Linked DNA regions of Xenopus tropicalis. The protein of the gene in region 1 interacts with the protein of each later gene in a biochemical or structural test. Links are inferred from orthologs where the notes say so. Each region holds a gene or a part of one and is shown in the gene's direction. Other genes may lie near its edges. The genes, in order: hus1 and rhno1.

What was found.
Region 2: the proteins of hus1 (region 1) and rhno1 form a complex in vitro, tested with the Homo sapiens proteins (2 studies listed by BioGRID). The link is inferred for Xenopus tropicalis from reciprocal best matches to the Homo sapiens genes HUS1 and RHNO1.

The regions. Positions count from the first base shown.
Region 1 is NC_030682.2:59,394,093-59,409,910, reverse strand, and holds the end of hus1 (checkpoint protein HUS1), read left to right. Parts: intron 1-3,852; coding exon 3,853-3,980; intron 3,981-4,649; coding exon 4,650-4,826; intron 4,827-8,343; coding exon 8,344-8,451; intron 8,452-9,343; coding exon 9,344-9,418; intron 9,419-11,907; coding exon 11,908-12,007; intron 12,008-12,615; coding exon 12,616-12,741; intron 12,742-14,997; coding exon 14,998-15,080; 3' UTR 15,081-15,188; downstream 15,189-15,818. UniProt on the Homo sapiens protein: Component of the 9-1-1 cell-cycle checkpoint response complex that plays a major role in DNA repair. The 9-1-1 complex is recruited to DNA lesion upon damage by the RAD17-replication factor C (RFC) clamp loader complex.
Region 2 is NC_030679.2:10,378,825-10,395,165, forward strand, and holds rhno1 (RAD9, HUS1, RAD1-interacting nuclear orphan protein 1), read left to right. Parts: upstream 1-7,383; 5' UTR 7,384-7,487; exon of another isoform or gene 7,488-7,680; intron 7,681-8,865; exon of another isoform or gene 8,866-8,908; 5' UTR 8,909-8,946; coding exon 8,947-9,114; intron 9,115-11,836; coding exon 11,837-12,397; 3' UTR 12,398-12,540; downstream 12,541-16,341. Other genes in the region: foxm1 (forkhead box protein M1), read right to left, coding at 100-166, 723-758, 1,857-1,985, 2,123-2,320, 2,410-2,561, 3,358-3,931. UniProt on the Homo sapiens protein: Involved in microhomology-mediated end-joining (MMEJ) DNA repair by promoting recruitment of polymerase theta (POLQ) to DNA damage sites during mitosis.

The DNA.
Region 1 (15,818 bases):
CTAAAGGACTTCAGGAACAGGCAGGAAACTGGAAGCCACATCCAGGGTGGTATGCAGCGCTAAGGAGAACAAGAAAGAATTGAAGGCTGCAGATTTTTAGCTTACTGCTTGCAAACTTTCCGTGTTTAGTGACTAGATTCATGAAGGTGCAGGCACATAGACACACAAGGTGCTACTACTCTATTTTTCTCTCTGCATTCTAAGAATGTGTACCAACAGGAACAGGAGCAATAAGGATCTGATAAGCAACATGTTCTTCTTTGCTCTGTGAGTAGATTTTAAAGATGCAGAATTTTTAGTTGCTAAAATGGTACTTCACCATCGAAGCCTATCATTTCTTATAATTTTCCACAGAAGGGAAGACTGAAGGAACACTCAGTGTGAGTGCACCATTGCTGTGACTGTGCATTTCAAATCCTGGGACAAGTTTCTGGATTTGGACAGGATTTGAGTCCAGCGAGATTAAAGAAAAAAAATTCTGCTCTGTCTGCAATAATGGGCTGAATATTAAATCCAGAGTCCCTCCTTGCCATCAAAATTTAGTGTTCCTCGAACCCTTCGATCAATATCTTTCTACGTTTCTTGGAAAGTTGCCTTTTTCTTGGCTATCACTTCGGGACACAGTTGGAGAAATTCGGGTCAAGATCAAGAAGTAATATATGATTGTCTCAAAATAAGTTGGTGTTTACATTACCTTTAAGATTTCCGTCCTAATGTGGTCTCAGAGTCTCATGTTTATCAAATCATTTTGCCTCCTTTCTTTCCATCTGGCAGGGAGAGAAGATGGCATACTCTCAATGTAGTATGCAGTATTTAAAGATTTACTTGGAATGAACCAAGGCATTAAAGCGGACCTGTCACCTTAAGAAATTATTTCAAATTGTTTTCTATTGTGTTTGGCAAGCAAAATAAACTTTACTTACACTATATAAATTATTTTAATCTTAGTTTCTTCAGCCTTGGAATCCACAATTGCAGCAAGCAGGCAGGGGCCAATTTGTGGACACTGTTATCAAAGCAGGCATTGCATCCTGCCGAAATCTTGTTTCTGTGCCAGTATGGGGGGACCTGATGCCCAGGCCTATGCACTGGTTACACAATTAGATGGTGAGGAGGGAGGGGCAATGTGGGAGAGCAGCAAAATCTAAGAAGTTCTGAATTGAAAGTGAAAGTAACTGTCTGCCCCACCTCTATGCTTAAGGCATAGAGGCGGGGCAGGCATTATATGATTGACAGCTGGGATTTTAAAATGCTTTTATAATAGGTATGGATGTGGTAATAAAAAAAATATTTTGGGTTTCATGTTTAATTTGAAAAGGACTTTTATTATACAGCTTTTTATGTCTGGGTGACAGGTCCACTTTAAGACTGATAATCTGTTCATTGTTTTTTCGGGAAGTATGCAGTCTTGGCTTGGATTAAGCTGTGTATTTCTGAAGCGCCCGGGTTTTCCTCCACAGGGATTTGTTCATCTTGAACAGATTCTAGGATGGAGGTGAGGTGGAAGCTCTAAATATATTAGCTCATTCCTGTCCTTCACATGTCAGGCAGGTTAACCCTATAGTGCCATGCTTCAGTCCAGGAAAAGATAATCTGGGTAAGCAAACTGAATATGTGGTATTTGGTCCTTTGCTATTTCTTTGTGAAAAAAGAACCATTGCTGTTGGTCTATAATGCCCTCAAATGAATTTGTGTTATTAAAAATCCACACATAAGCATCTTTTATTCAGACATATGGATACCTTTAGGGGTCATTTATGAAGAGCAGAAAAGTGCAAGAACACTAAGGAGCAATAGAGCTTTATCATTTAGTGCTCATTTAGACAGCATTCCTTCTCACTTTTCACCAGATAAAAAATCTGGCATGAGGGAAGGACAGGCCCCCATTACAGCTTTTTCCTTTGCTGGCCCCTAACTTGTGCCTATGAATGACATGTTTACATGTCTTCCCCAATCCTGCCCCTCAGGTCTTTGTACTCCAAAGCATTTTTGTTTGGTTGCATACCTCTTCACTTTTTTCTAGCTTATCAAGAGCTAAAAAACGTAGTATAACTGGGGGTACCCAGTGGAGGAAATTTCTATCATGTTGCTTTTTTATGGAGTCCGAAAACATTTTGTTTTTGTTCACTAATAATGAAGATGAATTCATATAAACTTGAGTGTTGAAATAGCTGTAAATAACTTCTTTTCCCATGACGGCCTGTCCTGTCAGTGCAGACATCAGGGCCTCCACCTTCCCCTAGTATCCACAGTGCTCTTCTCCCACCGGCAGTATATTTTGTCCTGCCACAGGAGGTGGGGCTCTGGGAATTATCCCTACGTGTCCAGGCAATGCGCAAGTCCATTCCCTAGGTACCTGGGCTGGGCTCCCCCTCCTTACCAATCTCGCCTGCCAAATAACTTATTGTGTTTTTTTTGTTTAGGTCCTGTGAATGTGGATATAATTTATATCGGGAGTGATGTGGCCCCTTCTGAAGTTTTATAAGGATATTAGAATTTTCAGAGTTTCAAAAATCAATCCATATTAAAAATGGCACCTATCTAATGTTAACCACCTTGGTCCCTCCTAGTTGGCTTTTAGCTGTGTCAGACATTGGACACCCCATCAACTGTGGCTTAAAGCGGACCTGTCACCCTAAGAAATAATTCCAGGTTGTTTTCAATTGTGTTTGTCAAGCAAAATAAACTTCACTTATACCATATAAATTAGTTTAATCTTCAGCCTTGGAATTCACAGTTGCAGTAAGCAGGCAGGTATCATTTTGTGGACACTGTTATTAAGGCAAGCTTTGCATCCTGCCAAAATCTTATTTCTGTGTCAGTATGGGGGGACCTGATGCCATGTCTATGCACTGGTTACAAAATTAGATTGTGAGGAGGGGGGGGAATGTGAGGAGTGCAGCAACATGTAAGAAGTTCTGAATTCAAAGTGAAAGTAACTGCCAGCCCCACCTCTATGCCTAAAGGTGGCCATACACGTGGCGATCTGACGATGTTTCGTACGACCATCGGTCGCACGAAATATCGTAAGATCCGCCACACACTATTCAGGGCTGAATCGGCAGGTAAGGAGGTAGAAACAATAGGATTTCTACCTCCTTCTGCCGATTCAGATCTGAAGGGAGAATTTTGGTCAGGCGCCTTCTATGGCGCCCGATCAAAATTTTCCAACTGGTCCGATCGGCGAGTCGTCCGATATCAGCAGGTTCCTGCGATATCGGTCGACTCGCCGACATACTATACACGCACCGATTATCGTACAAACGAGGTTTCGTACGACAATATCGGTGCGTGTATGGCCACCTTTAGGCATAGAGGCTGGGCAGGCAATATATGATTGACAATTGGAATTTTTAAGTGCTTTTATAATGGGTTTGGATGTGTTAATAAAAAAATGAGTTTGGGGCACATATTATATAATATAATAATTTGCAATGGGCTTTTTTTTTTTTATACAGCTTTTTATGCCTGGGTGACAGGTCCTCTTTAAGGCACGGCTTACATCAGTGTTCCAACCTATTGGGTAATTGTTAGTTCAACATCATTGGTACAGCAGTCTTTTTTTCTGGTTTTGGACTCTCGCCATGCCTTCTTTCCATGACTGCTGTAATAGTCCTGGTGGGGGTGGAGCAATGACAGTAGTATGGCGTTACTGTTTACTAACAATAGTAATAACTAGTGGTTGAGGAGAGGCAAAATCGTAGTTTTATTATGTTACATCAGTGCAAGGAAGATTTTTAAAGTATTACAATAAAACATGAAGAATGCATCAGTATCACTGCATTGTAATTGTGTTTCAGTAACGTGTGTGTTGTATTTTAATTTTCTCTTTCTTTGATTTCTCTTCTGAAGGAGTCATAAATACAATAAGCAAGCTGACAAAGACATGTACCCTCAGGCTCACCGTTAACAATCTGTACTTTATTCTAACTGACAAGGTAGCCAATGGAGGAGTCAGTATGTGGTGTGAGCTTAGCCAGGTAATCCACTTTGGTAATACATGTAATTATCAAACTCCTAGGATGGTTGCTCAATATTCGTTCAAATATGCCTTTATTAAAAAGAAAAAAAGTTTTTAAAGAGTTTGGTAACTACTATTCTTATTGGACTAATCACAGTCCTGTATTTCAGCTTTTTGAGCTTCTTACATCTGTCTTAATCCAACCAGGGCTCTATGTAAGAACGCTATTACGACCAATGCTAAAGTTTGCTGCCAAGCATATATGACCCTCTGTTTCTGTTTTCTAAAGCACTGTACTTGCACCAGATATGAATTTCCTTTACCTGGTGTAAGTACCATGTTTTTTTCTCTTTTGGTGAAGGCTCTTTCCTGTTTCAGCATGCTAATAACAAATGCATCAAGCAACATTTGTTAACCAGTTAACGCCTGTGATTGAAATACTGTCTGCAAGCCAGGCCTGATCAAGCTTTGTCACTGGTCAGCCTCACACATGCTTCTGTGGGTGGCTGGAAGCAAATCTTAAAAATATTCTCACATTTAGAGAAAAGCCTTTCCAGAAAACTAAAGGCTATTGTAACAGGAAACGAAGGCTTGACTACTTTCAATACATTGATTGAAATGATCCAAAACCTAAACAAGGTCAATGGGTTTAGGATATTTTTTTTTGAGAATTTTGTTTATATTTCAGGGCAATTTCTTTGATGAATATCAAATGGAAGGTGTTTGCATGGAGCAGAATGAAATCTTCTTGGAGCTGATACCTGAAAATCTTTCCCGAGCATTAAAAACTGCTCAGAATGCTAAATCTGTGAAAGTAAAACTGACAAACAAGCATTGCCCATGTCTGACAGTGGCTCTAGAGTTGGTAAGGAAATTTGAATTTTATATCGGCATAATTGTATTTTGTCTACGAAGGCATGTTTGTATGTAAAATCTTCTTACAAATGTTGTTTGTAAGTATTATTATACATTTTTTTTATAGCGCCAGCAAATTATACAGCTCTTACAATGATTTAACCATCAAGGGTTTTGAGTAACAATAGAATCATAGGGCCCTACTTGCAAATGCTTACAATCTAAAGGGGTTAAGGGTACAAAAGGAATATGGAAACAGATTGATGATATATGATACATAAATAAATGTTGGATCAGTCGGGATATATTGAATATGCTTTCCTAAATTGATGGGTTTTTAGGGAGTGTTTGGAAGGAAGGGGAGAGACTGATGGCTCGAGGCAGAGAGTTTCAGAGACAGGCAGAAGCCCAGAAGAGAGTCAAAGGTTATAAGCAAAGCATAAATTGCATAATCTGTGTGCACCTTTTCCTGCTGTTAGGAAAAGATCTCTCTAGATTAATGTCAAAGTTCAAAAAACACGTGGAAAAGCCACCTAGTTTTTTACACTACCCCACTGTCAACTCTTCTAGACACAGTGATTTTTTACACCCCTTTGTGTTCTAGCACTTGTTCTGGATAATTGTAAATAACTTCTTAGGACCTTGACACTCAAAACTGTCTCACACCGATCCAATCGGGCAAGTATAAATGAGGATACGATAAGACCCCGATACTGTAGGCATGGTAAGAACAAAATTACTTCCCCACCCCTTTCTATCACATAATATGATAATAAATAGGGTTGTGGGAGAGCTGATTCAGGAACATACATGAGGAGAGTGGTTATGAAAATGTGAAAAAGATAAAGGGTGAAATAGTAAGAGGCAGGAAGCAATTCATAAAAGTTTTATATATATATATATATATATATATATATATATATATATAAAGTCATGCAAAGCAGGCACTCGCGTGAAAATGGAGCCAAAAATGCCTGGGTGCAGTATATACAAGTGTAGTACAAAAATAGCAAGGATGCCGCACTCACAGGTCTTAGTGCAATAAACAGAAAATTTATTAATACAGACTAACGTTTCGGCTGTCACTGCAGCCTTTTTCAGCCTTTGAAAAAGGCTGCAGTGACAGCCTATCGTCTTGATTTAGGCTGATGCCACACTTTGCATATGGCGTATATTTTCGGCAACCTGAATATCGTTTGCCGAAAATAATGCCATACGCTCCTACCTGTGAAATGGAATATGCTCGGGTTCAGGCACATGTAGGTCATATCCTCAGAAGATATGAAGTCTTGCGTTTTTTGGTGGATATCAGCTACATATGCCTGCATCCGAGCGTATTCCATTCGTTCAGGTCCAGGCACAAGGTAGGACACTTTTACAGTAGCGGGCGTATTATCGGCAAGGGTTTTTTGGCTTGCCGAGAATACACCCTTGCGGCATCAGCCTTAAATCCAACAAGTAGCTAGGTCAGGAGGCAGGGTTGGCCTTCTCCAATTCGCTATAGGTGAAGCTAGTTCAGCCATTATTTCATCCCTCCCATATAATTAGCTCCTTGTTAATATTATTTTTTTCCCTAACATTGCTTTCATCCTGACATGATTGCTCTCATAGTGATATGAGCCAAAGTAGAGGGTAGATTGCCACTGAGATTATTTGAAGGAGTTAAACTTAGAAGGGGAGGAATTGTAGTAGAATAGATAATAAAAGTGATGTAATGGTATAAAAACAAGCCACCCTTGTTATGCATTCATTGTCTCAAGTGATTTATTTCTGGGTAACTATATAGTTCAGAATCTTGCTCCCACTCAGCCAGCTAAAAATAACACAAGTGTTTCAAGAAGCTCATTTCAAGTAGTTCATTAAGGCAGAGAAACTTTTATAATTATAAGTTACATAAAAAAATGCTGTCATATAAAGGAATATTGTACTTTAACTATAGTTATTTTGTTAAGCAGCAAGATCTGGTGTAGGCCATTATATGTAATCTTCTTTAGGAGTACTCTGCAGTAAGCCTTGACTTGGTTTCTTATGAATGTGGAGGTCAGTTGGCCTAAAACTGGGTATACACAAACTTTTGTTTAGTTGAATGCCTGTGTGTCGCTTCATTCCAAAGTAAAATGAATCCTGTGAAGGAAGTTACATTTTGCAAGTTGTACATTTTTAGGAAATTACGATATCACTTATCATTATTATTAATATTATTATTTATTTATAAAGCGCCAACATATTCCGCAGCGCTGTACAATAAGTGGGTTTCATAAATTGGACATACAGAGTAACATATAAAGCAATCAATAACCGATACAGGAGGTGAAGAGAGCCCTGCCCAAAAGAGCTTACAATCTACAAGGAGAAAGGGTTGAGGCACAAGGTGTGGGAATGGGCATGACCAGAGTTGTGAGAGGTGTGGCTCAGGGTATTGCTTTTAGCAGCACACTGAGGTTATGTTAAACTAGATTAGGGTAAGCTTCTCTAAATAAATGCGTTTTTAAGGATCTCTTGAAGGCAGAGTGACTGGGAGAAAGTCTGACAGTTTGTGGGAGCGAATTCCAGAGGGAGGGCAGCCCTTGCAAAGTCTTGAATGCGAGTGTGTGGGAAGGGAATGAGAGAGGAGTTGAGGAGCAGGTCAGTAGAGGAGCGTAACAAGCGGGTTGGGTGGTACCTAGAGATGAGTTCAGAGATGTAGGGTGGGGCAGAGTTATTAACTTGTTCACATGCTTTTAACTTACCACTATTAGACTGATGTTTTGCTTCAAAACTTTGTTTTGTAGCATACCATATAACAGACATTTTCTGTGGGCCTGCGCTTTGTTTTCTGAAGTCCTGTGCAGGGATCTTCAGGCAACTTCGAAAAATGAAGCCCTGGGTATAACTGGGTTACTGGCAATTCACTTTATTGCCTGTAGGAAGGCATTTTGGGGAGATTAGTCGCTCACAGAAGCAGTGATGTGCCATCGCTCTAAGGCTTATGCCCTATGGGGCGATTAGTTGACTGAGATAAATCTCTGCTTACCGTGGGTGACTAATCTCCCCGAAATGCCTTCCCACTGGCAATAATGTTAACTGCCGATGGGAAGGCATATGCATCGCTAAATCGACTGAAGGAATTTATTATGGGTGACTAATCTCCCCATGGGGTATTAACCTAAAGCAAGTAAACTTTTTAAATAAAAGGTTGTTGTAAACTAGTAGTGTGCTCTTTGTCCAAATCCTAGCATTCTTATTTTCCTTTTCGTTTAAATACATTTAAAATGCAATACAGTTTTAGAATATTGCAACCTAAGACGGTTTTCAGTTTGTTGGTTAATTTACATGAGAATACATAGGGAAACAATATTACATTTCCACAAAAAGATTGTGCAAGCATTTTTTTTGTTTTTAATAATTTACAGATTCTTCCATGTTATGAAAATGCAGTACTTGCTTTTTGAATGCCTACATTCAGAATTTTGTAAACTACTGATTTGGTATTTTATTGATTTCTGCATGCTGTCAAGATTTGTGCAATTTTTTTTTCTTTCACTCAGCCTTCTTTATCAAGTTCAAGTCGAATTGTTACACATGACATTCCTGTAAGTGTTATTCCACGAAGACTCTGGAATGATTTTAAAGAACCAAGCGTTCCTGAGTTTGATGTAAGTATTTAATGGTTTTGCTTTGCTAAGTCTTTTCTTGCTTACAAGTACATTATACTGACAGGTATATTTGTTTGGTAGCATTTTAAAGGCATTCCATTTTGGAAACGTCTTCCCCAGCTACTATGTTTCAAAAATGCCCTTATACTGCTTAAGTTTGCAATTCTCAGACTTAGGTTCTTAGTTTTTTGTGTAACATAATCTTAAAGGACCGTGTTATGATCACTGTTCCCTGAATGCTCATCCACACTATTACTGGAGATAAATTTGTTAATATTAGTTAGTACCAGACCTTAAACTGCATCTACCCTAGTAGGCTCCTAAAGCAGGGGTCCCCAACCACCGGTCCGCGGACCAGTGCCGGGCCGCCGGCTGCTTTGTAGTGGGCCGCCTCTGTTCCTGGTCGCACTGAATATGCGCCCATAAAAGCATGCGCGCAACCCCGCCCACCCACCCTCCAGTCCGTGGAAAATTTTACCCGCTTGCCAGCGGTCCTTGGCACAAAAAAGGTTGGGGACCACTGTCCTAAAGTACCTGGAATAAAAAGTTTCTGTCTTGGCAATCCCATTACACCAGTCACTGTCTGGTTAATTGTATTGGAGTAGTGCAGTAGGGTTGGCAGACGCCATTACATATAACTAAAAATTCTCTAATAAGCAATTGCTGACTTTTTTATTTATTATTTATGCCTGTAAAAATTTCACATCCTGTTACAGTTTGCGTACTAAATTCTTTACATGATCAATGCCATTAATATTTATGATGTTTTACAGTTGTCGCTAAGGACATGTAGAATCTTTGAGACGATTTAAAGTAGCTAAACCGCTCTTTTCAAAAGGAGCTTCAGGTATGCATTACTTTACATCACTGTATATATATTTTTCCCTTTTAGGTAAGCATTTATTTGCCTGCTTTAAAAACTATGAAGAGTGTCGTTGAAAGGATGAAAAACTTAAGCAATTATATAGTAAGTATATATATATATATATATATATTTGTTTTTTTAATTTAGAAGATTGCAAAGCCTTGTGTTTTTTTTTTTTTATTTTTGAATAATTTTTTATGAAAGCCAATTTTTCCCATTAAAAAGTTTCTATAGTATTATCTATAAATGCTAGGTTATATAATGAATGCAGTGTATTTTATGTCAAATTGAGACCGTCAGATTGCAAATTTCCTGTGGTGTCAGTGAGAATTTTTTTTACTGAACATAGTAGAATTTTATCTCTAGCAAAAATATTTCAGTAAGTGAAATGACTTACTAACTGATCTCAGCACTGCTTAATCTTGAGAGCATGGAAGCTCACTATGTTCTGTGCAAACAGCTCACATAAAGCAAAGTGAATCTGCCCCATAAGACAGCAGCCCGAAATAAATGAATGAGTTGAAGTAGGACCTGAGAATGCCTGGAGAAATAAGGGGAAGAGCATAAATAAATGAGGAAGAGAAGGGAATGTGGGGCAGAGGAGATGAAGCATATAAAAAGTATAGGAGATTTAAACCTTGGACATTTGGTTTGAAATATACTGGCTTCTATTTCATGGTAAAGTAATGATGCTCTTGTGTCTGATATACACATTGTTAAAACAATTTTGCTCCATTTCTGTCATTGACAGAAGGGGAAAACAATCACATTTCAAAATGTTATACTCTCAATGACCCTTTTTTTGGTATGCAAATTGCTGTTCAAGGATATTTAAGTGTGTTCTATTTATAGAGCACCATACAGTACACAAAACTACTTGGAGCTAGAGGTAATCCTGAGAAGGATAGGTAAATTATTAAGGCCTTCGGCACACTGATCATTGGCTCTGCTGCTCTTAGCCTGTATTTTTTCTGCAGGAGAAAAGCAAATCGGCTCCTTTTCACATCTCCATGTATCTGCAAAGTACAGCTTCTGCTTGAGTGGAGGTCATCCCCAAAATTTCCTGCTTTTTGTGTTTTTTCGGCCGACCTCCGCTCCCTCCGCAGTAGTTTTTCAGCGCAGATACATGGAGATGCAAAAGTAGCAGATCTGTTTTTCTTAGCCTGCAGAAGAAACGGAGGCTGAAAGCAGCGAAGCCACCACTCAGTGTGCCCTTTGCCTAAAGGGATTTTATGATGGTGCCAATGTTGCTGCTGTTCACAATGTTAAAGAGCCACTTAAGGTTACATATTTACTGTAAGAGACCATTCAACAAACTGTCTTGGTTCCTTAATCGCCAGTAGATCTTTCCAGAAGACACTAGAACATAATTTGCAAACCAAAAAAGGAGGCTACAAGTTTATTTTTCAGTTAAGGTGGCCATAGTCTAGCTGATGGTAAAAGTTCAGACCAAACATGCAGGTATTGTGCTGTGTCCATGTTCTAATGCTTTAGTGGTCTCAACAACTGATCTCACAGGAGGTAAAATGGGACCTCCCTTATCCTCTACTGATGTACCCACCAACAAATGCCTGTGCAGATTTCTCCTAAGACAAATGAGAAAACACTCTTAAGTAGGCATGTACTAATGTTCGTATTTTCTTTTTTTTTCACGATTTGTGTTTTTTGCACAAAACCACATTTTTGGTAATTTTATTATGCATGAAAACCACTAATACAGGACTCCATCTAAAAGCTGTTAAGGTCATGAAAAAGTCAGCGGGAGTTGTCTTAAGTAGATTGTAATAATTTTTATTTGATCCATGCTTTTAGAGGTGTTTTTTTTGTTTGTTTGTTTGTTTGTTTGAAAGTCCACTAAAGGTGGCCACACACGTGGCGATCTGCGTCGCGCGAAAGATCGTCAGACCCGCCACTTACCTTCAGGGCTGAAACGGCAGATAAGGAGGTAGAAACAATAGGATTTTTACCTCCTTCTGCCGATTCAGCCCTGACGGCAGATTTTGCTCAGGCGCCTTCTATGGCGCCCGATCAAAATCTTTTGACCTGCCCTATCGGCGAATCGACCGATATCAGCAGCCTCCTGCGATACCGGTCGACTCACCGACTTGCCATACACGCACCGAATATCGTACGAAACGAGCCAGATTCGTGGAAAAACCAAGAAAGCTTTGTGGTTTTCATTCTGTATTTTAATTGGTTTGTGCTTTTTTTTTTTTTTTTTTTCCAATTTGAATCTTTTAATAAATTCATGGTTTTAGTGGACATGAGATGTGATTTAAAAAAAAACTCTGAAACCAGGAAAATGAGAAGGTTGATAAATGAGATTCCCCGTGTCTATTGGTTATTTTTGCAGAGTATATGAAGAATATTGTTGCAGTAACCAATATGGCGGTCTCCCACCACTCCCATGTTTTAAAGCAGAGAAAACATGTTTTGTGCACACAGTGAATTGTAATTTCCTGTACTATGCATTTTTTAGAATTACATTGAGTTTCATTATGCAAAAAAAAAGTGATTTGGAGTTAGGACCCTTTCAACTGAACTATTAACATTTTTTGTCTGTTTTGTCTGTCTGTTCTTCTCATCTAAAGGTAATTGAAGCCAATAGAAATGGAGAAATTAACCTGAAGATAGAAACTGACTTAGTTTCTGTTTCAACTCATTTCAAAGATCTGGGAAATCCTCCTTGGGGTATACTTCTGATAATTATTAGAATTATGTTGTATAGCGATTCTCACTTTCCACAGGGAACTATCCATCATCTTCACCCATCTGTGTATCCTCCAGCATCTCTGAAGCACAGCAAGCCAAAAATCTGGGGTTTTCTTGATAAGTGATCATTCCATCCACATCATAATGTAGAGCATATGATGCCTTAAAACTGCAAAAAATGTAAAAACCAACCTGTGGGATTATTTTGCCACCAAGATGCACTTTTGCTGCCTTAAGGTGGCCATACGTGTGGAGATCTCAGCTTCAGAGTCGAATTAGCTAAATATTGGCCACCTTTAGTTGAGTATATCGGGAGATGATCTGCTTGTTTGGTGACCTTGCCAAACAAGCAAATCTTATCATGTATGGCCACCTTATATTTTCATGAAGCGGTTGGCACTGACTTATTGCAAAGTAAAAACAAATCCGTAAAAAACAAAAACTTTGTTTTAATAGGACTCTTGCAATTTCATATTTTGAGGTTTTCTAGATAACAGGTTTCCTGATACTGGATCTCATAGCAGTATATTTATTTTCTAGAATATTGAAGTTGATTTTCTAAGTTCCTTTTTTTTCCTGAATTTCAGTTTCAGATGATGCCTCTCAAAATAGCACTCAAGAAATAGATAATATGGCAGAGGCAAGAATAGACATTCGAAAACTTTTGCAGTTCCTTGCAGGACAGCAGGTCAATCCTACCAAAGCTATATGTAGTAAGTTTGTTTTTTGTCCTTGTTTTGTGTTTTTTTCTGTTTTTATGCCTGTGTGATAATAATATAAGCTGTTGCATTAATACAATTAATTTTTTTTCTAAACACCAGCAGCAGTAGTATAGACAAAGTCAAACTGTTTGGGATGGAGTGAAAATGATTCTGATGTAGGGGTCTACTTTTAGTGAAGTTATTGCATTGTGGTCTACCACCTTCGGTTTTGTACAGCAATGAGAAATGTCACCTTGAAAAGCAATGCTGCCTCTGAAAACAATCTACAATTCAGTTACATTTCAATTAGATGTGCCTTGAATATTGATCCATTTGACCTGTTTGGAATCACCAGTTTAATATATATATGTAGGGATATAAAATCTCCACTACTGACTGACCATGTTGAATAATGGGGACTAATACTAATTTGCGCGATAAATCAGTTTATGAACTTAGCTGTTTCTATTGAAATTTAGGAATATTCTAATAAAATTGCCCCAAATCTTATCTTTATTGAAAATTCAACACATTTACTGCATTATTGTGGGATAAAAACACATTGACCACCCAAAACCATATATTTTTGTAAATTACACATTCAGGTATATTTAATATGGGTACCCATGTCTTTCTACTCCTAAGTACCAATTTCAGATTCAGCAGAATGTGTACTTTCAAAATCAGCTGTATTTTCACACACACAAAAAATCTTACTCTGCCAGGGTGCATAAAGTATATGAAGGTTCATACAATCATACAACCATATGCTACTTATACCAGGCTTACTCGCCCTACAGCATTTGAAACTCTAGCTCGCAACGGCCTACCACAAAAGAGACTCATCTCTATCATATACAATCTACTCACTACTCCTCCAGATGACCCTCCCTATAAGCACAAATATATGGACAAATGGGACGCAGTGCTACCACAACCACTTACACCCGAGGAATGGGCAAGCATCTGGGACAACGCCAGAAAAATGTCAATGTGTGTCAGGCAAAAAGAACACATATACAAAATCATGATGTTCTGGTACCACACCCCAGACAAATTACATAAATTTTTCCCAACCTGCCCATCAACTTGCTGGAGAAACTGTGGAGCACAAGGAACCCTTCTGCATATATTCTGGGAGTGCCCAGCGATCCAACAAATGTGGTCACATGTAGCCGACCTCATTAGCAGGATCTTCTCCCAGCAGATACCGACAGACCTGCCTACCTTCCTTCTAGGAAAACCTTTCACAAAACTATGCAAAAGCGGCCAGACCTTGGTCAACCATATCCTCACAGCTGCCCGGCTAACAATAGCCTCCAACTGGAAAACCACAAACCAACCGACTTTGGCTGAAATAATAAAAAGAACTAATACAAACAGGATCTTCGAACACGGGATAGCAGTACTTCAAAACAAAGTTGCACAATATATGAAAGTCTGGACAATATGGGGACTCCGAGGCCTAGCCTCTTGACCGAACCTTTTCTACCCCTATCACTTCCACACCCAGACCGCCATGAGGATTATTACTAAGCTAATCGCTCTCCTCCTCTCTATCCCCTATCCTCCCTCTACTCTCATTTATGGCTTACTCATATAGTTATATGTTTTCATCATGCATCCAATTGTTAAATGGTTTGATCTCTTAATCTGTATACCTCCACCTCTTTTCCCTCTCCCTCATACATAATATTAATCACTTAGCCTTCAGTATAACTTCCATAGATGACAATAAGGCACTTGCATTATGTACTGTTTCTTTTTAATATGCTACTCAAAGAATGTATAATATAAAAGCCAATGGTACAATGTAATAACCATGCACTGAAAAAATAATAAAAAATTTTAAGTTACAAAAAAAAAAAGTATATGAAGGTTAAATATATAGAAAACATTTCAGCCACATTTTTATTATGCAGGATAGCAAATAACGTTTCCTTAGGACTGAGCCTCACCTGCCACTGCTTAAGGCAGAGGGGCCAGCCCCATAGTTTGGGAACTACTAGTCTAGCACTTATCCAGTTACAATAATAAAGGTAAATATCCAATGGTAAATTCCATGTTTAAGATGTTAGTGCTAATTTGCACTTTTCTGGGGCATTTACCTATAGGTTTTAATTTTAATTAATTTGACGTTTTTCCCATTGTTTGCTATTGTTTATAACCAGTGGTCCACTTTTCCCTGCTTGAAGAGATCTCTGCAGTACTTCCTGTATGATAGGTTAAATTTGAATCAGCTGAACTAATTTATTCACTTTCTTTCAGATATTGTTCATAAACGGATGGTTCACTTTATTTTGCTACATGAAGATGTCTCCCTGCAGTACTTCATCCCAGCCCTTGCTTGAGAATCCAGTGTGCAGGCTGAAAAAAAAAAAAATTTTCTTGGGAATTTACATCATCGTGATTGCAGTCCCAATAAAAAAAAGTTACATAAACAACAATTTGCAAATATACTGCAATATTTGTTTTTCTTTCAAGAGACAGTCCTCTCAGATGTGAGGATTTTATAAACCCAGAAGTACTTTGGCATTTGTAAGATCATACATGGTGGCTTCACTTAACATTTAAGCACATTCAAAATTATTACTTAAGAAACCTTTGTATAGTGTTAGTAATTTATTTGCTATTGAATTACAGGAACATATGTTAACTACTTAAGTAGCTGCTTTGGTCGCTAAACATGATGCCATAAAGAGGTTGAAACACATGCAGTTCAAGTAACAGAAATGAAATGAAGCGGCAAAAATGCTCAGAAGAGCAAATGTACTTTTTTTTTTTTTTTTTTTTTACTGCTTACATACATTTATTGAGTCACAAAAAGAATGAAATGAAAGGTATAATCACTGGGGGAGTGTTAGGCACCCTTCAGTGACTGTAATCACTTAACTCAGTGCTGTCCAACTGGCGACCCCCCTCTGTTTGGTCCCCCACCAAAAGTTTTTTAATATATAGTTATTGTGCAGACTGTAGGAGCAGTGCCAGCATTGTGTCACTGTATGCTGCCTGTGTGTGCCATACAGCATAGGGCAGGCAGAGTATGGCACACACAGGCAGGATGGGGCAGGCACAGTATGGCACACACA
Region 2 (16,341 bases), on another chromosome or scaffold:
ACTTTATAGAAGCTAGGGCAAGCAAGAGCCATATGAAGAATTTTATTAGAATAAGTCAAGGGACATTTAACCCTTTAAACTGAATACAGCTTATCTCACCTTTGTTGCTGGCATAGGCTGCACTCTGCAAGCTTTTTCTTATATCGGGGATCATTTTCTTTTGCTGCTGTCAGGGGAGAAAAGAAATAAAAAAAACTCAAATGAGTATGATAGGTCAGGCCTCTAAAATTAAAAAAAAACATTTGTTATGTTATAGAATACCCTATTATGTTATAGATTATTCTATTATCAATAAAAACATATTGCTTTATATAGCTTCTTTCTATTCAGTCCTTCCCCTATTATCTTTCAGTTTCTCAAGCCACTGCCTGTTTGCTACGGTACATTGGACCCTAGCAACCAGGCAGATGCTGAAATTCCAAATGCTATATAATTCCAAAAAAAGCAAAGACTTTTTGCCTCAGAATATTACCGTTTACATCGCATATTAAGAGTTAATTTGCCTTAAAAGTAGATCTGCAAGATTTAAAAAAACTGTATTGCTAGCTTGCCAGGCATTTTGATTATGTGAATGACTAGCAACTCTGTAAGGCTGTGCTGAACATATCAGCACAATAGAAATATATTGATTAAATAATATCATAATGATGGTTAGGCTTAAAAGTTAACTTCCCCTTTACACAGTGCACAGCACCCAATTAGGAACACAAGTGAATCCATACCGGTTCATCGTCTGCAGGAGACATGGAAACTGCAGTCTTCAGGAGATGAAACACAGGAGCACAGTATAGAGGGAGGTTTATTAGAGAGAGAGAGAGAGAAAAAAAAGTTAATTCAATATCACTTGTAATCTAGCCCAGGTTATCCCTTGTGTGACAAAGCTCAGCAAGGGAAACATTATATAAATCCATTCCACTGAGCTATTGCGGGCGACTAACTGCTCCTCAAGCCCTTTGCATCGCTTTGGTAACCCGAAGTTGCACAGAGCTTCCTCCCGTAGGCAATTTCGTACGACTTCGGGAAAACGAAGCGACGCAATGGGCTTTCCAACGGAGACTCCAGTTAGTTACCCACAATAGCAGAGATCTATCACTGGCAACGGAACCTCTCCGACCCTTAAGGTCCCCATACACGTTAAGATTCGCGGCGGATCTTCACCCGATATCCCCACCTACGGGTGGGCGATATCGGGGAGCGTGTAGGTTAATTCGATCGAATTATATTGGCGGCAATGGGGCAGTCGGTTCGGGGACCGCATCAACGAGCCAATGCGGTCCCAGAATCCGACTGAATCTTTTAACCTGCCCTAAAGGTGGCCATACACGGGCAGATCCGCTCGCTTGGCGATGTCGCCAAGCGAGCAGATCTTCACCCGATATCCCCACCTACGGGTGGCGATATCGGGGAGGCATGTCAGTGAATTCGATCGTTTGGCCCTGGGGCCAAATGATCGAATTCTGCACGGGCAATGGGGCAGTCGGTTCGGGGACCGCATCAACCCGATCCGACGGGATTTTCTAACCTGGCCGACCGATATCTGGCCAATTTCAGGCCAGATATCGGTCAGGCAGGCCCCTCTTTTCTGCCCCTAGACGGGCCGATAAGCTGCCGAATCGGTCTAAGGGACTGTTATGGGCAGCTACAATCGGCCCGTGTATGGGGACCTTTAGGGTGGGTGGGGTTATAAGCACCCAGATCCAATAATATTGTCAGCCAACCCCACTGATAATTCTGAGCACAATCTGCGATATTCACCTCGTTACTCCATTGATAAGTTTAATATTCACCCCCCTTATAGCTGCGCCATAGAGATAGATGTTATGAACTCTAAAGCATAAAATTGAAGGGGGTCTCACCTTGAACACCTGGTCCAGGGTCAAGCAGCGATTGGCCTGGGGGTGAATGGTCCAGTAGGAAACCTTGTTGTTGGCCTCGCTTTCCCGTACAAACATATCGTGCAAGGAGAGGTTGTGGCGGATAGAGTTCTATGAAACAGAATGGAGTTAGAAAGAAGCAGAGACACTCACGTACATTTCAACTGAGAAATCCCCTTTAAAGAAAATCTCCCACCCTCCTGTGTATAACCCTCAGTGAGTTAGCCCCGCCCAACATTAAGTCCCACCTTCCAGCCAGGTTTGGCCACATGTTTAAAGTACGGGAAATGATCCTCGATCCAGGTGTAGATATCCTTCAGGGTCATGCGCTTCCTGGGGGTGCTGTTGATGGCGAACTGGATCAGAGCCATGTAGGAATAGGGGGGGCGCTCAGTGACAGAGACGGGCCATTGTGGATCAGGAAAAAGTTGCGATTCATCTTCCATCTGGGGTATTGGGGAGAGATAGCAGACTAAGGAATAGGACTAAATGCAGTAGGATATAAACACGGGGGGGGGGGGGGGGGGGGACTTACCTTTGGGCAGCCTGTCTCTGGGATCTGATTCTCCTTGTCCTCATGTTCTTCCTCCTTTATACTGTATTGCCCCAAGGACTCGGAGCTCATGTTCCCCAGCCACTGTATGTTGGACAGGCTGGCATTTAGCTGCTCCTCCTGCTGATGCTTGGCTATAAAGGGAAAGAGATGGCCAGAGATCATTTTCAACTTAGAGCAGTGGTTTTGCTACTGTTTGGCTTCAAGCTTTCCCCGGTGGCTTCCAAACTTTGGGGCTGGCCCTCTAGGACACCCAGTGTAAAGGCCACACAGGCCGAGATTTAAATAGAATTGGGATATGCTCTCCTAGACAGGGCCGCCATCAGGGGGGCACAGGGGGGACAGTTGTCCCGGGCCCGGCAAATCTTCACTTTTAAAGGGAGCCCAGCCGTGCTACAGTTTTCTGACTGGCTCGGGCCCCCTTTAATCTATTATGGCCGGGCCCTGTCATGTGATTGGTCGCGCCCCATGTGTACGTGACGTCAGTACGCACGGGGCACAACCTTTTAAAAGGGTCTGTCCTGTAGAGGAATGCAACGTCATTGGAGAAGATGGCAACGTCAGAGGAGAAGCAGCCGACTTCGGGAGGCACTGTCTATGGGGGGGGGGGGGGGGCAATTGGGGGCACTGTCTATGGGGGGGCAATTGGGGGCACTGTCTATGGGGGGCAATTGGGGGCACTGTCTATGGGGGGGCAATTGGGGGCACTGTCTATGGGGGGCAATTGGGGGCACTGTCTATGGGGGGCAATTGGGGGCACTGTCTATGGGGGGCAATTGGGGGCACTGTCTATGGGGCAATTGGGGGAGGGTCTCAGATGAGTGCACATTGTAATGAAGTGAATGTTACCTGCATCTGATCTAACACTGTGCAATACCTGAGCCAGCCCATTACTTTCCCTTTACACGGATCTCATTATACGTGCAGTACCTTTCCTGCTGCTCCCGGTGGGTTTTTTCTTGGAGAGGCACGCTGCTTCTGACTGTAAGGGCGCACTCTCTTCCTCTTTAATTTGGAGCGCTTGCTGCCACGCCTGAGTCTGGATAGCGGATTCGCTGCTGATGATGATATATTTGTTGGGGCCGCCGTTCTCTTTTCCTCGGGCGGTTAATGCTTGAATGATGCTCTGGACATTGGATTGAGAAGGAATGATCACCAGCTGAGTGTCCGGCGTTGTGGGGTGACCCACGATCCGTACCCCAGGAATGAAGCCTGGAACGCCTTCTTGACAGTTTTGCTGTGAGTTTGCTGGAAGTCCTATTCTAGGGGTGATAGGATCCCCACTTTCGCTCCCAAGGTTTGGCCCAGGGGCCCCCTGATGCGCTTTCGTCTTGGATGCCATATCTTCCAAGCCATGGACAAGGGTTTGCTCAGGTGGATTCGCCATTTTGTTCATGGCGGCTTTGCCCTGCTGGGAGGACCCCGGGCAGTCTGTGGCATCTTGACGAGGGAGGCTGAGCTTGCGTCTCTTGAGTATGAGTGGCCTGCGTGGGCTTGTTCTCATGGTGCAGTGGCACGGCCAGCAGCCATTGAGAGCTCAGAATGAAGACTTTTTATCAAATCGCTTTAAAAATCAAAACACAGAACATGTTACGTTTTAGCTGAACATTTGCCCCACAGTTTATCTATCACCCCCAAAAAGCTGGATGCCCTGCTCTGCAACATACATGCACATATCCATGGCATGAAAAATAATGGGGAATAAGAACTGCCCACAGATTGGCATAAAATAAATTCATCAGTTCTAGATCAGATCTACAATCATAGAGTGGGTTCTTGTTGGCGTTACATTCCCCAATGCCCCTCATTCAAGATCTAGTGCCTGGGCAACGGCCAAGGGATACCCCCAACAATACAGCAGCTGATGCATAGAATGATATGCTTTGTGCTATGGAACAAAGAGGAAGGATTACAGGCATTTATCTTACAGTATCCTTCATAATTACCTCCCTGCTCCTCTGATTGGTTTGTAATGGGAGCTGGACCAGCTGAAAATGTAGAACTGGTCCTTCTGTAAGGTTCTTGCTGTATGTGCGCTACTAGGGGGTCTTAGAGATCTGTTTCCTCCCAGAACAACAGACAGAAGGCAAAGCCATTGTATAACTCAACAACTTCATTATATGGGGGCACTAAGAGCCCCTCTGCACTCCCCCATTATCACACACACATATATATATATATATATATATATATATATATATATATATATATATATATATATATATATATATATAGAACATTAAGACATTCTGTGCATTAAGCTACCAATGCACAGAATATATGGACAGACAATCCCTGTTTTTGGTATGAGATCCCTTATCCGGAAACCCCTTATCCAGAAAGTTCCGAATTACGGAAAGGCCATCTCCCATAGACTCCATTATAAGCAAATAATACTAATTAACTTTTCTCCCTAAAACCAACATCTATTAAAAGAAAGCTGCTATTTCCGGGAGAATAAATGCATTATCATGATTACAGGTATGGGATCCCTTACCTGGAAACCCGTTATCAAGAAAGCTCCAAATAACGGAAAGCCTGTCTCCCATAGACTCTCTGTAAAAGTAAAACAGTACCTTGTAATTAATTCTTACTGGGGGCAGAACAGCCCTATTGGGTTTATTTCATGGTTAAATGATTCCCTTTTCTCTGTAATAATAAAACAGTACCTGTACTTGATCCCAACTAAGATATAATTACCCCTTATTGGGGGCAGAACAGCCCTATTGGGTTTATTTCATGGTTAAATGATTCCCTTTTCTCTGTAATAATAAAACAGTACCTGTACTTGATCCCAACTAAGATATAATTACCCCTTATTGGGGGCAGAACAGCCCTATTGGGTTTATTTCATGGTTAAATGATTCCCTTTTCTCTGTAATAATAAAACAGTACCTGTACTTGATCCCAACTAAGATATAATTACCCCTTATTGGGGGCAGAACAGCCCTATTGGGTTTATTTCATGGTTAAATGATTCCCTTTTCTCTGTAATAATAAAACAGTACCTGTACTTGATCCCAACTAAGATATAATTACCCCTTATTGGGGGCAGAACAGCCCTATTGGGTTTATTTCATGGTTAAATGATTCCCTTTTCTCTGTAATAATAAAACAGTACCTGTACTTGATCCCAACTAAGATATAATTACCCCTTATTGGGGGCAGAACAGCCCTATTGGGTTTATTTAATGGTTAAATGATTCCCTTTTCTCTGTAATAATAAAACAGTATCTGTACTTGATCCCAACTAAGATATAATTACCCCTTATTGGGGCAGAACAGCCCTATTGGGTTTATTTAATGGTTAAATGATTTTAGCAGGCTTAAGTTATGGAGATCCAAATTAAAGAAACATCTGGAAAACCCCAGGTCCCGAGCACTCTGGATAACAGGTCCCATACCTGTATATATTAATAATGGGGGAGTGCAGAGGACCTCTTGTTGTTGTTGTCTATATGAACTTTGCAGTCACAGCTTTATTGCACCTCTGCCTAATGGTTTAATCAGGGGTGCTCAATCTTTTTAAGCAGGGGGCCAGTTCACAGTCCCTCAGACTGTTGGGGGGCCAGACTATAGTTTGTCCCACACCCCTGGCTATAACTGGCCTGCCTCAGCGTGGTCCTTGGCTGCATCACGTTACCCTGTCACACCCGCCGATGCTAATGTGTCCAGCGAGGGCCACGCTGAGGCAGACAGGTAGTAGCCAGGGGTGAGGACACAGCAGGGGTAGGTAAATGCCCGTGGGGGGCCGTAGTTTGAGGACCCCCTGGTTTAAAATGTAATGGTCAGCACAACTTTCCCTTTTTTTGCACTAAAGCCAGAAAACATGTTAAATATCCTCAATTTGTAAATAAAGTTGCCATGGCTGCGTGGTTTCATCACTAGCACAGTGCCAGCGGCAGATAGTGCCCAAATATACAGTAGCTGGGCAAGTGGCCTTACTGACCCATTGCGGGACCCCCCAGCAATACAGCAGCTGATGCATAGAATGATTTGCTTGGGGCTATGGAACAAAGAGGAAGGATTACAGGCATTTATGGTACAGCATCCTTCATAATGAACTCCCTGCTGCTCTGATTGGTTAGTAAGGAGAACTGGACCAGCTAGAACGTTATTCTGTTAGGTTCTTGCTGTATATGTGATACAAGGGGGTTAGAGATCCCTTCTCGTGTGTTTCTAACTTTATTTTCCAACCTATACTAATTCCCTAATAACACCCGCACTGCTACAGAGTGAGCGACAATGGCTCTAGCACCCCCCTTTACTGATTGTTAAAGCCCCTGTCCCCTCCTCATTCACTGAATAGGTCACTCATTACCCATTGAATTGATGGAGGAGGAGGGTGAGGCAGACAGAAGGCAAAGCCATTGTATAACCCAACAACCTCATTATATGGGCGCACTAAAGCCAGAAAACAGGATACATTTTCACAATTGGGAGATAAAGTTGCCATGGGCAGATAGGGCCCATATATATATATATATATATATATATATATAAAATATGTGGCTGAACCATTGCAGGACACCCCCTCCCCCAAAAGACCATTAAGACATTACAGGTGGGTTGTAGTTGAACAACAGCGGCTTCCATAGAGTGGAACATGACAGTTCCATATTGAGAACTGACACCCCCTACACCCACAGGCCTCCATGCTCCTTCTACACAAGCCTTGCACCCACCCTCATACACACACAGCCCCAACTTCACGTCCGATGACGATCTAACCCGATCTAAATACCTGTTTATAAGACGGTGTCAATATCGGGCCTTTCCGTGGTTTTTGAATTTTCGCGCTTTCGGGCCCGCTTAAACCCACGTGACCACATCGACCAATCCACAGCGCGTCCCTAGCGCGTCACGCATCTCTCGACCAATCGCGCAATCAATCAACGAGTTCCTTTGGCAAAGAGCCAATCATAATGAGCGAGTTATAGAACGCTCGCCGTAGCCAATCGGTGTCGGGGAAAGAGAGAAGCCCTAACGTATCCCGGAAAGAAGGGGATATTACAGCGCTGGGCCGGAATGTTCGGGGGCTACCTGTCCGCTTATTAAGGGTTTGTAGCTGTCGGTGGGTTGTGGGTGCAGTTGTGGATAACAAATTGATTGGTGGGGAACATGCTGATTGGACCTGTTTGTTTTAAACGGAATCGGAGCCGTCATGTTGGGAGCGCCATCTGTGGGTAACTCATGGTATGACAGGAGGCAGAGACTAATGACTGTAGCACTCAGAGCTTGGCTAACGTACAGGTATGGGACCCCTTATCCGGAAACCCGGTATCTAGAAAGCTCCGAATAGACTCCATTTTAATCAAATAATTCAGAATTTTTAAACCTGATTTGTTTTTTCTCTGTTATAATAAAACAGTACCTGTACTTGATCCCTTGATCCCTGGCAGAACAGCCCTATTAGGTTTATTTAATGGTTAAACGATTCCCTTTTCTCTGTAATAATAAAACAGTACCTGTACTTGATCCCAACTAAGATATAATTACCCCTTATTGGGGGCAGAACAGCCCTATTGGGTTTATTTAATGGTTAAATGATTCCCTTTTCTCTGTAATAATAAAACAGTACCTGTACTTGATCCCAACTAAGATATAATTACCCCTTATTGGGGCAGAACAGCCCTATTGGGTTTATTTAATGGTTAAATGATTCCCTTTTCTCTGTAATAATAAAACCGTACCTGTACTTGATCCCATCTAAGATATAATTACCCCTTATTGGGGGCAGAACAGCCCTATTGGGTTTATTTAATGGTTAAATGATTCCCTTTTCTCTGTAATAATAAAACAGTACCTGTACTTGATCCCAACTAAGATATAATTACCCCTTATTGGGGGCAGAACAGCCCTATTGGGTTTATTTAATGGTTAAATGATTCCCTTTTCTCTGTAATAATAAAACAGTACCTGTACTTGATCCCAACTAAGATATAATTACCCCTTATTGGGGGCAGAACAGCCCTATTGGGTTTATTTCATGGTTAAATGATTCCCTTTTCTCTGTAATAATAAAACAGTACCTGTACTTGATCCCAACTAAGATATAATTACCCCTTATTGGGGGCAGAACAGCCCTATTGGGTTTATTTAATGGTTAAATGATTCCCTTTTCTCTGTAATAATAAAACAGTACCTGTACTTGATCCCAACTAAGATCCCTTATCCGGAATACCCTTGGTCCCGAGCATTCTGGATAATGGGTCCTATACCTGTACCAGCAGCAAGTATAAGGATTTAGAATCTAAAAATAAGGCAGTGGGATTTTACAGGCAAAGCCAAAAAGGTTTGATCTATTTTAGATCAAACCTTTTTGGCTTTGCCTGTAAAATCCCATTGGCTTATTTAATGGGAGGCTTATTTGCCCACTGCCTGTCAGTGTTCTGCACCTCATACTAATCCTGCTGTCCCTCTGTTTTTGTGCCTTAGGGCTGATTTTCCTGGATACAGCCATTTGTTTATTGCCCCTTAGCACCATGTGGCTGCTGGCGTTCCTGCCATTAACTGCCGATGCCTCGTAAGAAGCAGACCTCATACAACGCAAGCAAACCACGCCTGGTGTTCCTGGAAAGCCCAAAGCAGGGTCTGCGCCATGAGTATGGACTACCCCCTGACAAGGCGGCCCACCCTGTATGTGTGCCCACCAAACCTCTGGATCACAATGCATCCGCCTCTTGGGTAAGTGTTGGGTATTTTTTCATTGCTACATTAGTTTGCTTTGATTCAGGAGGGTGTTAAAGCTCTGGGCTACCCTGGGATCTAACACCCCCATTCATCAGAATGGCATTCAGCTGTTTACAGCAATCACAGTCTGACCAAGGGATACGTTGCTTTGCATTGATGAATGTTAAGGGGTTGTAAACCTTGCTGCACTGCTCAACCAAACTTTATTTAGTTGTTGCTGGACTATAAATCCCAGAATAATGTAATATATGATAGTTCAAGCATGCTGGGAGCTGTAGTCTAGCAACATCAGGATTGCATTTTTAAAGCAGTATTGCACAATAAAACTATTCCCCAAATCTCCACAGCCAGCAACTGCTTTATAATGCAAAACAATTCTCCAATGAGAATCCCTGATTCTGTAACAAGATATAGGCTTCTAAATGTCATCAGCAACAGGCCCACTGAACAGTTTGATGCCCATTGTGCCATCTTGGAGTCAGGAAGGAATCGTTTCCCCTCTGGGGCAAATTAGAGAGGCTTCAGATGGGGTTTTTGCCTTCCTCTGGATCAACTAGAAGTTAGGCAGGTTATATATAGGCATTATGGTTGAACGTGATGGACGTACGTCTTTTTTCAACCTAACTTACTATGTTACTATGTATATTGTGCATAGGTTTACATAAGTATAGGGCATGTAGGGGCCCCAAAATAAAAATGCCCCCCCATATGATCTGTCATTTTAGTTACTGCACAATCAACATATTTACTGCATTTTATGTGGGGTAAATCCTGCCTAGTGACAAGGAAGAAAAGGAAAGGTAGGGTTTAACATCATAGGGGCATATTAACCCTATGGGTCCCTACACATACAATGACAAATCACCCTAAATATGAATGGCCAATGGCCTACTGAACAGTTTGATGCCCAATATGCATAGATATACCAAAGTCTGCGGTATGTACTGACCCCAAAATGAAAATAGCGCATAAGGATTTCTCGTCTGCAACTCAGCTTTTGCACACAGAGCCCCCTGTCAGTGTATTATGTGCAGTAACCCCCCCCCTAACTATACACAGACCCCCAGAAAACCAGTGTCGAACTGGGGTACCTGGGGCCCATCAGAGAACCGCACCCTAGGGACAAACCAAACACAAAAGCTGTTGCTGCGACCACCACCCACCCCCCTACTATGTATGGAGTCCAGCTACACGTTACACATTTATCATCTGCAACATTTCACCAGCAGGTTTCAGTGAGGCCTTCAGTATTTTGGTACCATATATTAAAGGAGACATATCCTATAAAAATTATAAATGTACCAGGGAATTATGCTCCTCTAGATATAGACGGATTGTGCTAAAAAAAAGTTGTGTTTCAGACTGATTTATTGAGAAATTCCCCCAAAACCCCACTAGCCCCGCCCATCTGTTCCACTTCCTGCTGGCTGAATTCTCTGGATGTTCAGGGGAGCCGGCGGCACTCAGTACACTGCACTGTAGGATAGGAACCAATCAGCAGCTAGGCTGACCTGATAGGGAACTGAAGCCTGTCTGTGCTGGTGTGACTGCAGGGCTGTGATTGGCTCTCCCCCTCCTACTGTGCTTCTGGCAGGGACTGTTAGGACACGCCCACTCGTCATTTCAAACTCTGACAGAGAAGTGATACGATCTATAGGGAGCTCCAATAAAGGAGCCATTGTTACAGATAGGGTTAATTTTTTGCACAAAGGGAAACCTGCACCGTGTATTATTTGTAATTGCCTACAAAATTAGGGATTTTTTTACAAATACCACACCTATATAACAGCAATTACACATTGTGACAGTGCTGCAAATCATAACAGTATGTAAGATTTGTGATGTGCTGAGTCTGTTTGCCTACACCATTGCAAGGGAGAAATTAGCCAATGGCCTTTCAATTTATGCAGCTGGTTAGAGTGCACAAGCAACCAATGAATTGGCCCAATAGGGAAAAGGTAAGGGATGTGATGATGTAAGCATATAGGAAGTTGTCAGTGTGTCAGGTTCTCCCATCCAGGGAGACAGGGAAAGGACATGGAAGGTGAACAACCCCTTTACATATGTTTATAGAATGGCCTATTCATAGTAACCTTTCAGTTGGTCTTCATTTTTTAAATTTTTCTTTTTTTATATAGTTTTTGAATTATTTGCCTTCCTCTTCTGTGACTTTTTACTTTTCAAATCGGGGTCACTAACCCAAAAACTATTGCTTTGTGAGGCTAAAATGTTATGGTTACTTTTTTATTACTTATCTTTCCATTCAGCCCCTCGCCTACTCATCTTCCAGTCTCTTATTCAAGTCACCGCCTGGTTGCTGGGGGAAATCGGACCTTAGCAACCAGACAGCTGCCAAAATTCCAACCTGGAGAGCTGCTGAACAAAAAGCTAAATAATTCAAACACTGCAAATAATAAATGAAGACCAATTGCCTCATAATATCACTGCCTACATTATACTAAAAGTTAATTTAATGGTGTAGATTGTAAGCTCTTTTGGGCAGAACCCTCTTCAGCTCTTGTATCGGTTATTGATTGCTTTATATGTTACTCTGTATGCCCAATGTATGAAACCCACTTATTGTACAGTGCTGCGGGATATGTTGGCGCTTTATAAATAAATGTTAATAATAATAATGGTGAATTTCCCCTTTAATCTGTGTCACTGTTATGATTTTCCCATGCACTAAAGACAAGGTATGTGCTTCCCTACATAGGTTACCCCGCAGTTTGACCAGACGGAAGAACTGCACTTCCCAGCGCGCCGGAGGCTCCGCCATATGTCCAGCAACACCACTCTGCAGAACCGCAGTGAGCTGAGAGGGAGCGGAACCAGACCCGGTGCCTGCAAATTCCCCTCCTTATCATTTACAAAGGGGACTGTAAAAGCCCCAAGAAAACGGTCGGTCTGTGCCAGGCCAAAGCCAACGCTTCCCAAACGAAGGGAAAGAAATGTGTTACTGTCTCCCCTTCCACAAGAAGACTCATGCAGCAATGTACTTACCCCCCCAGATGTACGGACCCCAGAAACCAGCCTTAACTGCAATACAGAGTTACCCAATGGAATACCCGTGGGCAGGTCCCCAGACAGAGGGCAGGATAAACCAAGGGATGGCTTTGACTCCCCGGTGATGACCGGCCCATCACATGTACTGGCAGAGGATACACCAGAGCACGAGTATGGGGTGAAAAACACGTGGCGGCGTAGGGAACAACTCATGACCTACCTGAAAGCACGAGGACGGCTAAAAAAAAGCCAAATTGTGGTACAAGTGTGACTCAAGGCTCCCAGATTCATTTATCACTGACTGACTTGCGAGCGGAGCCTCTGCTGAACTGCTGTACATAGGCAGGGAGCGGCCTATTGGATAAGGGTTTCTGTCACTCACTATAATGAATTAAACCTCACTATGCACTTTTATTGTTGGACAGTTTTGGTTGCTTTATATATGCCTTGGTTCAGAAGAGAACCACAATGTAAGCACTTTACGGGCTGCTGAAGTCAAAGTAAAATTGCTCAAAGTGCTCTTCGGAGCACGTCCACACTGCTCAATTAATATGGAGGCTCTGACTGAGGGAAATGTATGGCTGAGCTTACAGCCAGATGGAAGAGGCTGTTTCCTTCCAGGCCAGTATCTGTAGTACCCTTCGTAAGGTCCCCATACACCTTCAGATCCGCTCGCTTGGCAATGTGGGGCCAAACGATCAAATTATGACGACGGGTATAGGCAATGTCGGTTCGGGGACCTTATCAACGAGCCGATGTGGTCCCTGATCCAATTAGATCAGGGGTAGGGAACCTTTTTGGCTGAGTGAGACATAAACACCACATATTTTAAAATGTAATTCCGTGAGAGCCATACAATGGCTGACGGGAGCAAGGCCGAAGCCAGGGCCTCGATTTTCGGCTGCCTGTGGAGGACGATGTGGCTTCAGGCCCATTCGGCCGCGGATGCTGCGGGGGAAGGTAGTGTGGGTGTTATCTTTAGCTGTTCACTATGGCTTGTTAGTGGTATAACTAGAGGGCTACCTAGCACAGTGCACAGTTGGCTTCTCTTTGTAGCCCCAACAGAGACATATTGGCCACATTTTAATTTCAATTCAAGCGTGAACTGTCACAGGTTTCTGCTCCAATGTCCCTCTCAGTTCACTGGGCTCTGGTTCAAGTGCAACCCGGTAAGGATGCCAGATGCGGAGGAGGGCGTGGCCTGCGCTCGGCGCATAGAAGACGTGTTCTAAGGCTTAGAACACGTCTTCTATGCGCCGAGCGCAGGCCACGCCCCTCGTTATTTTTTTTTATTAAAGATTTGGCAGAGAGCCAGATGCAGCCATCAAAAGAGCCACATCTGGCTCCCGAGCCGTAGGTTCCCTACCCCTGGGCTAGATTTTCTAACCTGCCCGATCGACATCTGGCCGATTAGCTGCCAAATCAGTCTAAGGGACCCATATTGGCAGCTACAATTGGCCCGTGTATGGGGACCTTTAGGTACAATCATATCTTGTCAGTGATCTGTTACAAAGCAGGCAATGCTCAATATGGTGCCTCATTAGATAAGTTGCATATTTCAATAACAAGTCGGCAATTTATTGGCTTGTGTAGGGGAACATCTTCCCAACTGATATCCGGCAGATTTGAAAGTCTCATTTGGTAAAGACAAGGCAAGATGATTCCGTCCTGTAGCTCATGTACCGGGATTCACAGCCCTATTTGAGCATCTGGAGAGTTCCATAGCCAGGTTTCATGGGTAAAACTGATCATGCCATGGGCCAATGAAGGCTGCTGAGCACTTTGCCCATAGATGCGTGCCTCCCAACACATAATTGAAGTGTCTGTTGGGCAAATATTAAAATCCCACTGGGCAATGAAAGCATCAGCTTATTGATATCGTCCTTGCCCAGTGGGTACCCATAGGCCACGTCTTAATCCAGTCATTCGACAAAGATCTGATCAGCCCAATATGGCCGAGTGGATCTTTAAAGAGGCTGCTCACCTTTAAACTGTTAAAAAAAAAAAAGTTAAGCTGCCAAATCGAGTCCTTCAGACCGATTTGGCAGCTTATCTGGCTGTGTATGGGGTCCCCCGACTGGCCTCCCTGATGGCGAAAATCGGGCAGGTGTTGATCAGTCAGGTTTCATTTTCCCATTGGATCGAGGATCGCATTGGCTCATTCATTCGGCCATTTGCCTGTGGCTCCTTTACCGGAATGTGGCAGGGGCCTGTCTTGCTAAGGAACTACCGGGGGGGGGGGGGGGGTACATTGTTTATGGAATGGAGGTTTCTAACAAAAACAAAAACTAAAGCTCCATAAGGAATTACACTTAAAAAGTGCTTTGGGGCTATTGTACATGTCTATTACCAGAGAAGATCTGTGCTTTGGAGATGCCCCAGTAGCTCCTCATCTTCTTTTCTGCTGATTCCCAGCACATGCTTTGGGCTGCTGTCACTCAGGGACCCACCTACAGCACAAACAGTATATAAAATGCAGAATACAAGGCTGATTAGTGACTTATTCAGAATTACATTACATGGAAACCAGTGCAGTCTGCATCAAAGTTGATTAATAATCAGCACTGTAGCATCAGCTTCTATGGCACATGTGACTGCTAATGTATAATGATTTCTTCTAATCTCCCATAGCTTCTCAGCAGCAGCCCAGATATGTACCCATATAAAGGCACAAGGCTGAGTTATACAGGGAACCCTGAGTATCACTCATGTATTATAAGGGATAATGTACCCCCTACTGTAAATGATAAGGATATTAGCAGTCACTGAGGGGTTCTGTGCCCATATAAAGGCACAAGGCTGCAGGCTGAGTTATACAGGGAACTCTGAGTATCACTCATGTATTATAAGGGATAATGTACCCCCTACTGTAAATGATAAGGATATTAGCAGTCACTTGAGGGGTTCTGTGCCCATATAAAGGCACAAGGCTGCAGGCTGAGTTATACAGGGAACTCTGAGTATCACTCATGTATTATAAGGGATAATGTACCCCCTACTGTAAATGATAAGGATATTAGCAGTCACTGAGGGGTTCTGTGCCCATATAAAGGCACAAGGCTGCAGGCTGAGTTATACAGGGAACCCTGAGTATCACTCATGTATTATAAGGGATAATGTACCCCCTACTGTAAATGATAAGGATATTAGCAGTCACTGAGGGGTTCTGTGCCCATATAAAGGCACAAGGCTGCAGGCTGAGTTATACAGGGAACTCTGAGTATCACTCATGTATTATAAGGGATAATGTACCCCCTACTGTAAATGATAAGGATATTAGCAGTCACTGAGGGGTTCTGTGCCCCCCATATAAAGGCACAAGGCTGCAGGCTGAGTTATACAGGGAACTCTGAGTATCACTCATGTATTATAAGGGATAATGTACCCCCTACTGTAAATGATAAGGATATTAGCAGTCACTGAGGGGTTCTGTGCCCATATAAAGGCACAAGGCTGCAGGCTGAGTTATACAGGGAACTCTGAGTATCACTCATGTATTATAAGGGATAATGTACCCCCTACTGTAAATGATAAGGATATTAGCAGTCACTGAGGGGTTCTGTGCCCATATAAAGGCACAAGGCTGCAGGCTGAGTTATACAGGGAACTGTGAGTATCACTCATGTATTATAAGGGATAATGTACCCCCTACTGTAAATGATAAGGATATTAGCAGTCACTGAGGGGTTCTGTGCCCATATAAAGGCACAAGGCTGCAGGCTGAGTTATACAGGGAACCCTGGGTGACTAAGTATCTTCACCTAAAAGATATATATTACATTTTACACCATTTATAACAAAACGCTAGAAGGTATTTCGGGTGCCTGAATATAAATAATACATCTCAGCACACTCTAATCTGAAGTAAATGCAGGGCAGACAGGGAAGACTTTTATTGTTCTACCAATGAGTGTTGACAAATCTGTTAAAGCAATAATATTTGAAAACTACGAGCTGTAGAAAGCTGCAAACACTCGAACGCCCCGCCCTTCTTGCTCTCCCTTCCACACACCCTCACCCCCCACCAGCCCGCCCACACTCGCTCTCCAAGGCTCTGCCCTCACCTCAGTCGCTTTTTTGTCAAGCCAGCCAATAGGCTCTAAGCTTGTTGTGCTGCCGACCAATGGGAAGGCGTACTACTGCGTGGTGCGGTTGCTAGCGCCGGTTGCCAAGGGACAGAAGTCTGTGAGTGCCTAACGGGACAGGGAGCTGCCG